Linked DNA regions of Drosophila melanogaster. The protein of the gene in region 3 interacts with the protein of the main gene of each other region in a pairwise test. Each region holds a gene or a part of one and is shown on either strand. Other genes may lie near its edges.

What was found.
Region 1: the proteins of CG7744 (region 3) and Obp18a interact in a two-hybrid assay, tested with the Drosophila melanogaster proteins (one large-scale study listed by BioGRID).
Region 2: the proteins of CG7744 (region 3) and Acbp1 interact in a two-hybrid assay, tested with the Drosophila melanogaster proteins (one large-scale study listed by BioGRID).

Annotation. Positions count from the first base shown.
Region 1 is NC_004354.4:19,134,466-19,137,837, reverse strand, and holds Obp18a (Odorant-binding protein 18a), read left to right. Parts: upstream 1-1,969; 5' UTR 1,970-1,994; coding exon 1,995-2,045; intron 2,046-2,099; coding exon 2,100-2,435; 3' UTR 2,436-2,757; downstream 2,758-3,372.
Region 2 is NT_033779.5:8,161,284-8,164,443, reverse strand, and holds Acbp1 (Acyl-CoA binding protein 1), read left to right. Parts: upstream 1-1,991; 5' UTR 1,992-2,118; coding exon 2,119-2,133; intron 2,134-2,206; coding exon 2,207-2,321; intron 2,322-2,380; coding exon 2,381-2,523; 3' UTR 2,524-2,648; downstream 2,649-3,160. Other genes in the region: Rbsn-5 (Rabenosyn-5), read right to left, coding at 2,712-2,951, 3,017-3,160.
Region 3 is NT_033778.4:19,450,671-19,454,434, forward strand, and holds the start of CG7744 (uncharacterized protein), read left to right. Parts: upstream 1-1,833; 5' UTR 1,834-2,018; coding exon 2,019-2,119; intron 2,120-2,175; coding exon 2,176-2,544; intron 2,545-2,876; coding exon 2,877-3,531; intron 3,532-3,582; coding exon 3,583-3,764.

The DNA.
Region 1 (3,372 bases), on a different chromosome or scaffold from region 3:
ATTGTTGCCTGCCTGATTCTAGCTATGGCTTCACGGGCCATATTGGGTTAACAGGGCATAATAGTATATGCTCCGTTTTACAATATTTCTTACAATTTTTCTTATCTATATATATTTTATATTTACTTTATATTTATATATATTTATTATTATATTCTGCTGTTGATGATGCTCATCAGGTGTCAGCTGGGCGTCGCCGGGGGTGGCACGCTGACACTCCCTCGCTGCTGTCTATTTCTTCGCCGCTGAAGACGTCGATGGTCGCTCACAAGTCCCCAGGCAGTGGGGACTCCAGATTCCTTCGCAGCCAGGGGGGCAGGACTTCTTTGGTTTTGTTAATGCTGGTGCTGGTGCTGGACATGCCTGGTATTTTGGAACTTCATTAATTGTGGGTATATTTTTAATATTATCTGAGTGAGTTTTCTCGAGCTTATGGGTCTTTAATTCTTGCTGATATTGCAACAAGTGGTCTAGCTCTGCATGTAGCTTTAGAGCTTTCGACCAAACCGGTGGCGTTTGCTGACCGTATATTAGCCACCTTACGTGGGCTATACGTTTATTCAGCTTAGTTTTCAAACCGCCACGGTGTTTGCCCATACTCAATAGAACTCTACTCACTCAGATTTTTCCTTGGTTTTTGCAGTTCCATTTAATTAGTCCAGTCTTCTTCCAGTCCAGTGTTCCTTTGTTCCTTTGTTTTCACCAGCTTTGGTCAATTCGTCCAGCGTTGGACGACTGTCACGGTCGCCATGTAATGATGAACTCCAATTCAGAACACAAGTCCGTTTTAAGTTGAAGGCAGCCGTCGGGCTGACATATATTTATTCAATTTCTTCTTTTGATTTTAGAGTAGGCAGAAATGGTTCTGTCAGCTCAACGTCTACAGAGTCTCTCTGATTTTACAGTTTTTAATATATTTGGACTTAGGCTAATCCGCGTAGCTGCGCTGCCGGGTACGCCAGCAGCGGAGCGGCGTTCTTATGTATATCTTATATATCTAGGCTTATCGGGAGAGCGAGATATGTATGTACGTATGTAATATGTATTTGGTCGGCGTGTGAATGCTGACCATGCACTTATACTTTTTGCCTTCGAGTGGGTGATCATGTTACATCCGCCCTGGCCTAACTGCGTGCATAAACATAAACATAAACATAGCAACAAAGTGCTGCCATAAGTTAATATGCTATTTTATTTAATTGTTCTTAATATTGCATAGGCACATACTACAGTTTAACATAAGAATACTTTTTTTTTTTGTTGTCAGCTTTAAATGTACGTGTTTTATTGCTAATTTTAATGTTCTAATTACTTTATTTATTCATTGGAAATGGGAATTCGCATAGACGAGCCCATCACGAAAATACTTACCAAAAAAGACAGTAGACTAAGTTTATACTAAAGATAATTAGGGGAAACCGCAAGAAAACAAAGAAAAAAAAAATGCAAAACGATAAACATTGTGGCGGTACAGTGAGCACTGCCTGCGGCCAACCTAAAAACATGACGAAATATTTTTTTTTTTTTTACATCGTGTATAAGATGTGATATTCGCTGCAAATCGCAAAGCGTGAATATAATTTGTATTTATACCTATATTAATGAACCATATAAAATATACGAATAAAGTCCAATACAGTAGATAGGCTACACATATGTTTTTTGTTTAAACTTCAGAGATGCTTGGAGTGTAAAAGCCAAAAATTGTATGTTTTCTATCTTAATAAATATGAAGAAAACCAAGTTGGTAATTTACTATTGGCAATTGTAATGCAGATATTGCGCATACGACATACGTGTAGCTCATAATCGGGAACTGCGCTTAAAATTTCAATTATAGACTTTATTTGTTGGTGTGTGGCGAATGTAAAGTAGCATCCAATTATTTAATTAAAATCTCCTGTCTACTTTTGAGCTGAATTAGCAAATCGATGGGTTATATATATAGAGCTGTGATGATGCGCTCATTGTTAGTTGGGAAACAGATTTTCGCCATGAAGGTTGTGTGCAGCATAGCTGTACTATGGATTTGCTTGATAACTATGGTCAGTTCTTAACGAAATAGTTATGTGTCCATCTAACAATACCATCTATTCTAGTGGCAATCAGCTGGCCGCGTTAACGCAGAGGGTTGCCTAAAGCACCACAATCTGACCAGTGCCCAAGTGCAGGCAGTGGCTCCATCCACTCCCGTTGCGGATGTTCCAGTGGCCGTTAAGTGCTATAGCCGGTGTCTGATCCAGGATTATTTCGGTGATGATGGGAAAATCGATCTGCAGAAGGTGGGAAAGCGAGGATCTCAAGAGGACCACGTGATTTTGTCCCAGTGTAAGCAGCAGTTCGATGGCGTCACCAATCTGGACACGTGCGACTATCCATACCTGATTCTCCAGTGTTATTTTAAGGGCAAGCAGAGTGGAACTATCGCCTCGTAATTTACCAAATAAACAAAAAATAAAGTATACATATATACATTACTACATACATATATGTACACACACATGACAGACACAATGGGCTTCATCACAGTTCATTGTTGAGTCTTCTAATCAGATCAAACGCCCTCTAATGGAAATTACACACGATTGTGCTTAGTATAAGTGTGATTTTCATTATTATTATTTGTATACAGTGATTAATAATTGTATTAGAGCAAAATAGTAGACATGCATTGTTTTAAACTCGTCTGCTTTTTATTGATTTGTTTTATGCAAAGTAACGTAGAACTGGTGGAAATACATAATGCAATAATAAGTCAATCAGAGTCTTTATTTTCCGAAAATTCGCAAGAAACATGGCCAAATAAATAACAGAAAATTTCAGTTTGCTGACCAAATATGTATGTATGCATGTACATATGTACATATATGGGTGGACTGGGAAGCCAAACACAAAATTTTCCCCCTGCTTGAATAATATTTGAAATGGCAGATATGGAAGATGCAATTTGAACATAATTGAAATGCAAATCGCAGACTGTGAACTGCAGAACCGACTTGATGGGGCGGATGTGTGGACGTAATAATGAATCCCAGTCGACCCCACAGGATGCAGGGCAAATTTCAATTTTCCCAGCAAATCATACGTAAAGTTTGGCCAAATACATTTTGGGCCAAGAGGGCCAAAAAGGGCCAGAAGGATGTCAATGCAATCAGTGAGGCATTTGACTTGGCCTTTCATTAACTCGACTCAGCGCAGTCGAGTGCAAAGGACACAGTACATAGTACACAGGACGAAAGACGCAGGACGCAGGACGCAGGACATGGCACACGAACTCCTTGGGCGACATTGCGGCTGCCACAAAAACTTTTTGCTAGCCAATCATCAAGAAAGCCGCCGAGTCACTGGTTACTGGTTACGGGTTACTGGCAA
Region 2 (3,160 bases), on a different chromosome or scaffold from region 3:
AAACACCTTTATTTACATATGTATGTACATTGCCCCAAAAGAACAAACAGCAGTGCCATGTGCTCAAAACCTAAGACTGATAAGACTAAAGCCCAGTTTTTAATCCCCAAAGCAAGAACGCAGCTGCTATCAAAATATTAGAAACATTAAAAAAAAAAAAAAAACATTTATTTATTTACGAAACTAAACTTATTATAAAGCTTGGATGAGCAAAGGGACATCCGGTAAAAAAAACTTGAAACTTCTGTTCAGTATATATGTATATTTTTGTACTAATATTTTGTTCTCCACTCCCATCTGACTTATGATTATGACTCGCGTTTTAAGCGTTCATCCATGACCATGAGTTATCTGACCGCTAATGGGTTAACTTCTAGTGGTGTTATCGCCGCACTTGAAAGTAAATACTTGTTAAATGAAAGGGGTTTACTACTGAAACGCTTATCGCGGCAGAGAAATGTAAATAAATGAAAGTTATTTGCGCTGATTTGACGCTTTTCCGTGCCTGCGCTAATTCCTCAAACTAATTGACACAGAAACGGATTTAAAAAACTTGCAGTACGCGATAATGAAATTAAAAATAGATCAACAGCTGAAAATACACGGTGTGCGAGCGAGATGGCGTGATCGGGCTATGGCCAGGAAAGTCAAACAAAAGCCAGCGGGGCAGAAAGAGATGGAGAGGGGGAAGTGAGAAGTGAGAAAAACACAAAGAACTAGAACACGGGAAATCAGAATGGGAAATCAAATGCGTTTGGTTTTCTTGTTTGCCTGCTCTTCACACTTGTTATTTGTGAATCTCGAATTTGTTTGACGAGTCGAAAGACCTTCAGCTTCAGCTATTTAGCGCCCTTTTTATCGAGTTGCTAGGCATTCGGAGTCGAGCAAAACAGAGAAAATATGGCCAAGTTCCACGGTGTCTTACCACATTTGCATAAGCTCTGCGAACGGCGACCACAACAAAAACGAAAGCGAACGATTTTTACCGATTTATCACCAGGAACGCACACTTAACCATACACTTTCTTTATTTTAACGAACTTTTCAGATCTTTTCGATCACTTTTGACCACTTTTCACCACTCTTTTTCTGACGGTGCAAATTATTTGGTAAGAACTTTAGCGCATTTGTTATTGTTTCGTTTCGGCTTCGATTTTTACAGGCACTGCGTTGTGTTTGCCCAAATCCGCGTATTGCATCGATTTTGGTTGCGAACTGCGTATATAGCGTAGTATCCGTATCCGTGTGCTCAGCATTAACCGAAAATATCGTTAATGTAACATTTTCTCCCGGCAATTTGTGCACTTTTTGTTACTTTTAGCGGAGCACCGGACGCACGACCAACGCAGATGAAAACATTTCGAACTGAATGAGTGGTTAGCGCTACCTTCTCCTTAAATACCCACGCTCTCCCGCTCTCACAATGCGTTTATGCGGGTGTCATATCATGAAATGAGTTAAATTCATGTATTGATGATGTCTAATATGGCCACATATGCTAGAAATCAATTGTATTTTGTGTATTTAAGAAGTAGTTATATATTAAATTTCCTCTTAATATTGATACATTTTAATTACTATGTACAACTGTTCAAAACGTTGACGTACAGCACATCATTACTCCATATGTTACTAATAGAAATCATGTTTCACGCGCCATAAGCCTCTCATTTTTGTTGCCACATTTGGAGAGAGCAGGACAGTGGGCTGAAAGATGTTCAATTGAGACAATCAACATTGGAAGGTTTTTAAAATATTTCGTTAATGTCTTGAAAATCTTAACGGACTATTTTGGATATTGTTCATATTATTCCATAGCTTTTTTCAAAACACAATTGTTTTGGCAAGAAACTGTCTACCAACTGTTACACATGTTCCTAACTATCATCGTAATAATGTATCTCAGTTCTCAATATGAAATTAGACTTCGAATCTTTTAAGTGTATAGGCTGCCAGACCCGCGAAATAAAACGCAACAGCTTGTCCACTCTAAATTGAAAAACTGTTGGTCACACAAAAGTATAGACCAGATATCGATAGACGCCGATAGATTCGGTGAAGTAAAATCGTGCAATTTCTTTTCCAAAGACTTCCACTAGTTAAAAAATAGATACAAAAATGTCCGAATTGCAGGTGAACTGAATCTACGTCAAATACGCATTCGTATCTTAAAGTCTGATTACCTATTCAAACTTAACCTAAACAGGAATTCAACCAGGCGGCCGAAGATGTTAAGAACCTAAACACCACACCCGGGGACAATGACCTTTTGGAGCTCTACAGCTTGTACAAACAGGCCACTGTGGGGGATTGCAATACAGGTGGGTCTCGGACATAGTCGTCACTCCGCTGCACCATCGATAATTCTAATCCAATGCAGATAAGCCCGGCTTTCTGGACTTCAAGGGCAAGGCCAAGTGGGAGGCGTGGAACAACCGCAAGGGAATGAGCAATACCGACGCCCAGGCCGCCTACATTACCAAGGTCAAGGCACTGATCGCTGCCGTTGGCCTGAAGTCATAGACTCAATCGAAATAGGATGTTGCATTTTATAGTCTCAGTTGTCGTCAAACGCACAAACTTTGATTTACAGAAACTTCGCACAAACTAAAATTTTTCGCACAATATACACCACAAATTCGTAACGTAACGTAAGCCATGTAATTTGTCATAGAGGGAATGAATATACATTTAACTATGTAGGATACTGCTTAGGCCTCTGTGGGTGAGGCGGCGGTGCTTCCCTGGGACTGGCGCTGTCGCTCGTACACTTCGCGCTGTAGCTCGCGAAGATTTAGCTCCAGCGTCTCCACCACCTCAAAGTTCATGTCCTGGCGAGCCTGTTTGATGTAGCCCTTAATGATGTTTATCTGCTCGATCAGCGGATCGTCCAGGCTGGACTTGCTAGCCGCCTGCGGTGCTGACCAGTTGTTCAGAGATTGAAGATCAGACTGTGAAGCAAATGGAATCACAGAGGTTACATATTGATCTTTGCAGAGAGTCCTCGTCTACATACCCCTTGGGCAAAGGATCCGCTTTCCGGACCAGGAACTCCAACGTTGGATTGGTTAGCTGCCATGTTATTTCGTTCGTAGGCTTCCATGGCCATGCGCTGTTCGGTGAGGATACGCTGCTCCGTTTCCATGCGTCTACGCTCCTG
Region 3 (3,764 bases):
ATAAGATCAACTCTTATACGTTCTGCGAACCGTTCAACGACGACCGGTTCAGCCATTTTAGGTTAAAATGACGTCATGTTTTCTCTTTAGAAGACGCATAGCGGCAAAAAAAAAAAAATTAAATGAAAAAACCGGCCGACGCTCACACATACAAATGAGCAGCAAGCTCTTATGTGCGTGTAGAAAAGCTATCGTGTTTTGACGATAGAAAAGTACCCTTCACCATCTGGGCAGTGAAATGGCTTTCACAACCGGTGAAAAACTATGAAAGTCTTTCGCCCAAGAGAAAATGACTCATGCATGCAACACGCACACAGGCATACACACAGCCACCAGCGTCGGTGTAATTGCAGACACACCCAACTATAATTACTTACATATGTACATACATATGGGCACGAAGTACATATGCGAATGTCAATGGCCCTAAAGCATTATATCGATCGGAAATTCGGGCGTAACAAACTTTCGTTCTAAATTTTGGACCCCAAATGCCAGAGTAGAACAACAATTTTCAAGCATCTTTGCGAAATCGGACAAATATGCGGTATATACAAACACAGATGCCGGGACTCAAAAAGACCACTCGACACACACACGCACACAACTTGGTATACATAAATGCAAATGTGTGAGTGTGAAAATGCCGGCCTCAATACAAATTTTTGCCACATGGACAGCGAAGTCGTGCAAAAATGACGCCATTTTGGCAACTGTACTCTGGATGGAAAATGAATGGAAAATGCAAATGGGAAAACTTACCTTGGCGCCGATTTGGTTGCCGCACTGACCAGCTTGGATGTGAACGATTTCCCTCATTTTGTATTTGTTTTAGGCTTTTGAACTTTTAACTTAAAATTATCTTTCGCTTATAGCAGTCGAACACAACACAAACTGTCCGCTTCACACACTTGGAAAAATTAGTGCATTCGCTTTGGAGAGCGCGGGCTTTTATACGATGGCCGCAGTGTGGCCATACTACATGAAAACGAATAAAACGCAAATCCCGTTTTAGTGTGCTAAAACATCCCACTTGCCTGACATAACATTAAGTTTTAATTAATGTCAATGAAATAAATACAAAGTTTAATCGAAAGATAGTAGCTATGTTGAAAAATGTATTAAAAGGGAATACATTTTTGTCCATTTTATCACATTAAACTCAGTTGAAAAGATATCTTCCAGTATAATCTTGCTGGGCTTAAAAATAAACACCAGATGTAAGCCAGATACAAACTTTGAAAAATTTAAATAATTAAAATTTTTTTCTAAATTTAGGAACTATAAAGGTACATTTTTTTTTCATTGTTAATAGTGTATATATTATACTCTTACTAAGCAGATCCTGTAAATTCTAGCGACAACAAACTGTTAACAACTATTTTTATATTATTATTATAAGCTATTGACTGACCTATTTCGATGTTATAATGTCCACTTCTTTGGGAAGGATTTACAAAAATAAATATTACAATATTTATTATATTATATTATATATATATATAATTATATTATAATATTAATATATATTAATATTAATATTATAATAATATAATATAATAATTATTATAATATTATAATATTATTATAATATAATAATTAATATTAATATTATAATAATATTTATATTATAATATTTACAATATTACACAAATATTATTACAAAATAAATAAATAATAAAAATAAAATAAATAATAAAAAATAATACGAAAAACAACTTACAGTGTGTTACCACCTTAACATTTCGCCACAGCTCTCCTCAAAGGCCAGAAAACATAGGATGCACACTGTAGAAACTATCGCATCGCCTAACTACTGCCATCGCTAGAAGTTCCGCTGTATTATTTTGTGGTTATTTTCTGCGCGCGCTAATGCCGACTTGCATGCCGGCGTTGCGTTTCGTTTGGAAAAAGTGGATCTCTAGCTGGCATTTGGATAGCTAAGTGACTCCGTGACCCACAGAGGCACCAGCTTGACTGCATAGATAAGCGTGACAGATTACCGAAATACTAAAGCGATGCTAACCCTACTAATTCGGCTGGCGGCGACGGCCATACCTGTTTGTGCTATTCTCTTTGTGGCCGGCACGTTTCTGTTCAAGGTTTATATTAGCATACGGTAAGTGATGCATTGAGTTATAATAGTCCAGACTAACTAACCTGCAATGTCTACAGATCCCGCTACGACGCCCGTGTCAACTGCTGGTTCTGCAATGGCAATGTACGAGTTCCGTACCAGGATCGCAACAGTTGGACCTGCCCGTCATGCGAGCAATACAATGGATTCACCAAGGACGGCGACTACAACCGGGATATTACGTCGCAGCGGGACTGCAGCCTTGGCTCCCAAAAGAACAGCTCCAAAGGCAGCTCCAGCATCTGTGCCAACTCATATTATTCCGATGTCCTGACTGCTCAACCTCCTGCTCCCAAAAACGGCCTGTGCGACCAGTGCAACGAGGCGCAGCGCCTGAAGGTCGAGAAGCTCTCTCAATTCGAGCCCAAGAACGAGTCCCGATTCGATCAGGAACTAAAGGTTTACAGGTGAGCTGTCATAACAATAAGCATTATATATACAATGTTATGGTATCTATGTTTACTAAGAATCAAGCAAAGTAATTTAGCTTGATGTGTTTTATAAATGAGTTAATCGTGTTTAAGTCAAGCAAATAAGATATACAACAAACATACAAATGTATGTCTGAATATGATCTAAATACCCGTATCTACATCGGTTTGCAAATCAAAGACAAGTTAACTAGATTAGATAGTTTCTATGAGTAAGCCGATTTATAATTTATATCTATTAATAGAGAACCTTTAATATAAAAGCTGGGGCACAAGTTATTAAATAATAATATTTATGTTTTCCGTAGAGAACGACTGGAGAAGCAGTTTCGCCTGTGTAGCAGCTGCGAACGACATGTGAATAAAGTCCTGCACGAGAAGAAGAAAATGGTGTTGAGCTCCAAGTTCTTGAACTATATCATCAAGGGAGCATCGTTGCTCAAGCAGCCGCACTTCAACCGATTGGCCGCTGCCCAAAAGCAGTTTAAACTGCAGCGATACCGCATTCTGATGACCATCCTGACTGTAGTCAATATTTTGTGCCTGCTCTGCCGGCTGCCGAATGCAACTTCCATTCAGTTTACGACTTACCTTGGAAAATTCATTGGGCTAACCTTGTTCTACGCCTACTCCCACGTGCTGGCCTTAATTCGAGTGGTGACTTCGAGCGTAGGCATTTTCCTGGAACAGCGCGAAATGATAGCCAAACTTTTATTGTATGGCCGTACCTTTGGCAAGCTCTTGCTGTATTCGCTTGGCATAGGCCAACAGCAAGTGCAGCAAGCAACCTTCGCATCCTGTTTTATTGGGATCTACCCATATGCCATGCTGGCCCTGTGTTTCCTGCACACGATATACGACGGATTGAAATTTACGCGATTCACCATTGCTCTATTGTTATGGAGTGGGTATGCCATGGGTATCGAATTCCTGGATCCTTACATCAGTGGAATATCCTTTATAGTAAGTGCATTTACTTATATTTGAATCTTATTTAACAAATTCTTTAAACAGCTGGTGGGAAGTTTTGTAACCCTTGTTTTGTTGGCCACCAACCGGACCAATCTGTTGAGCCAAGTGAATCGGGACGAGTCTGCCTGTGAGAGCTTCCATCGCCTCTGTGCGGACGAATGCGATGATGAAACGCTGAGCATGCTCAGTCAGCAGTTAAGTGGATACAGTGATATCAGCAATAG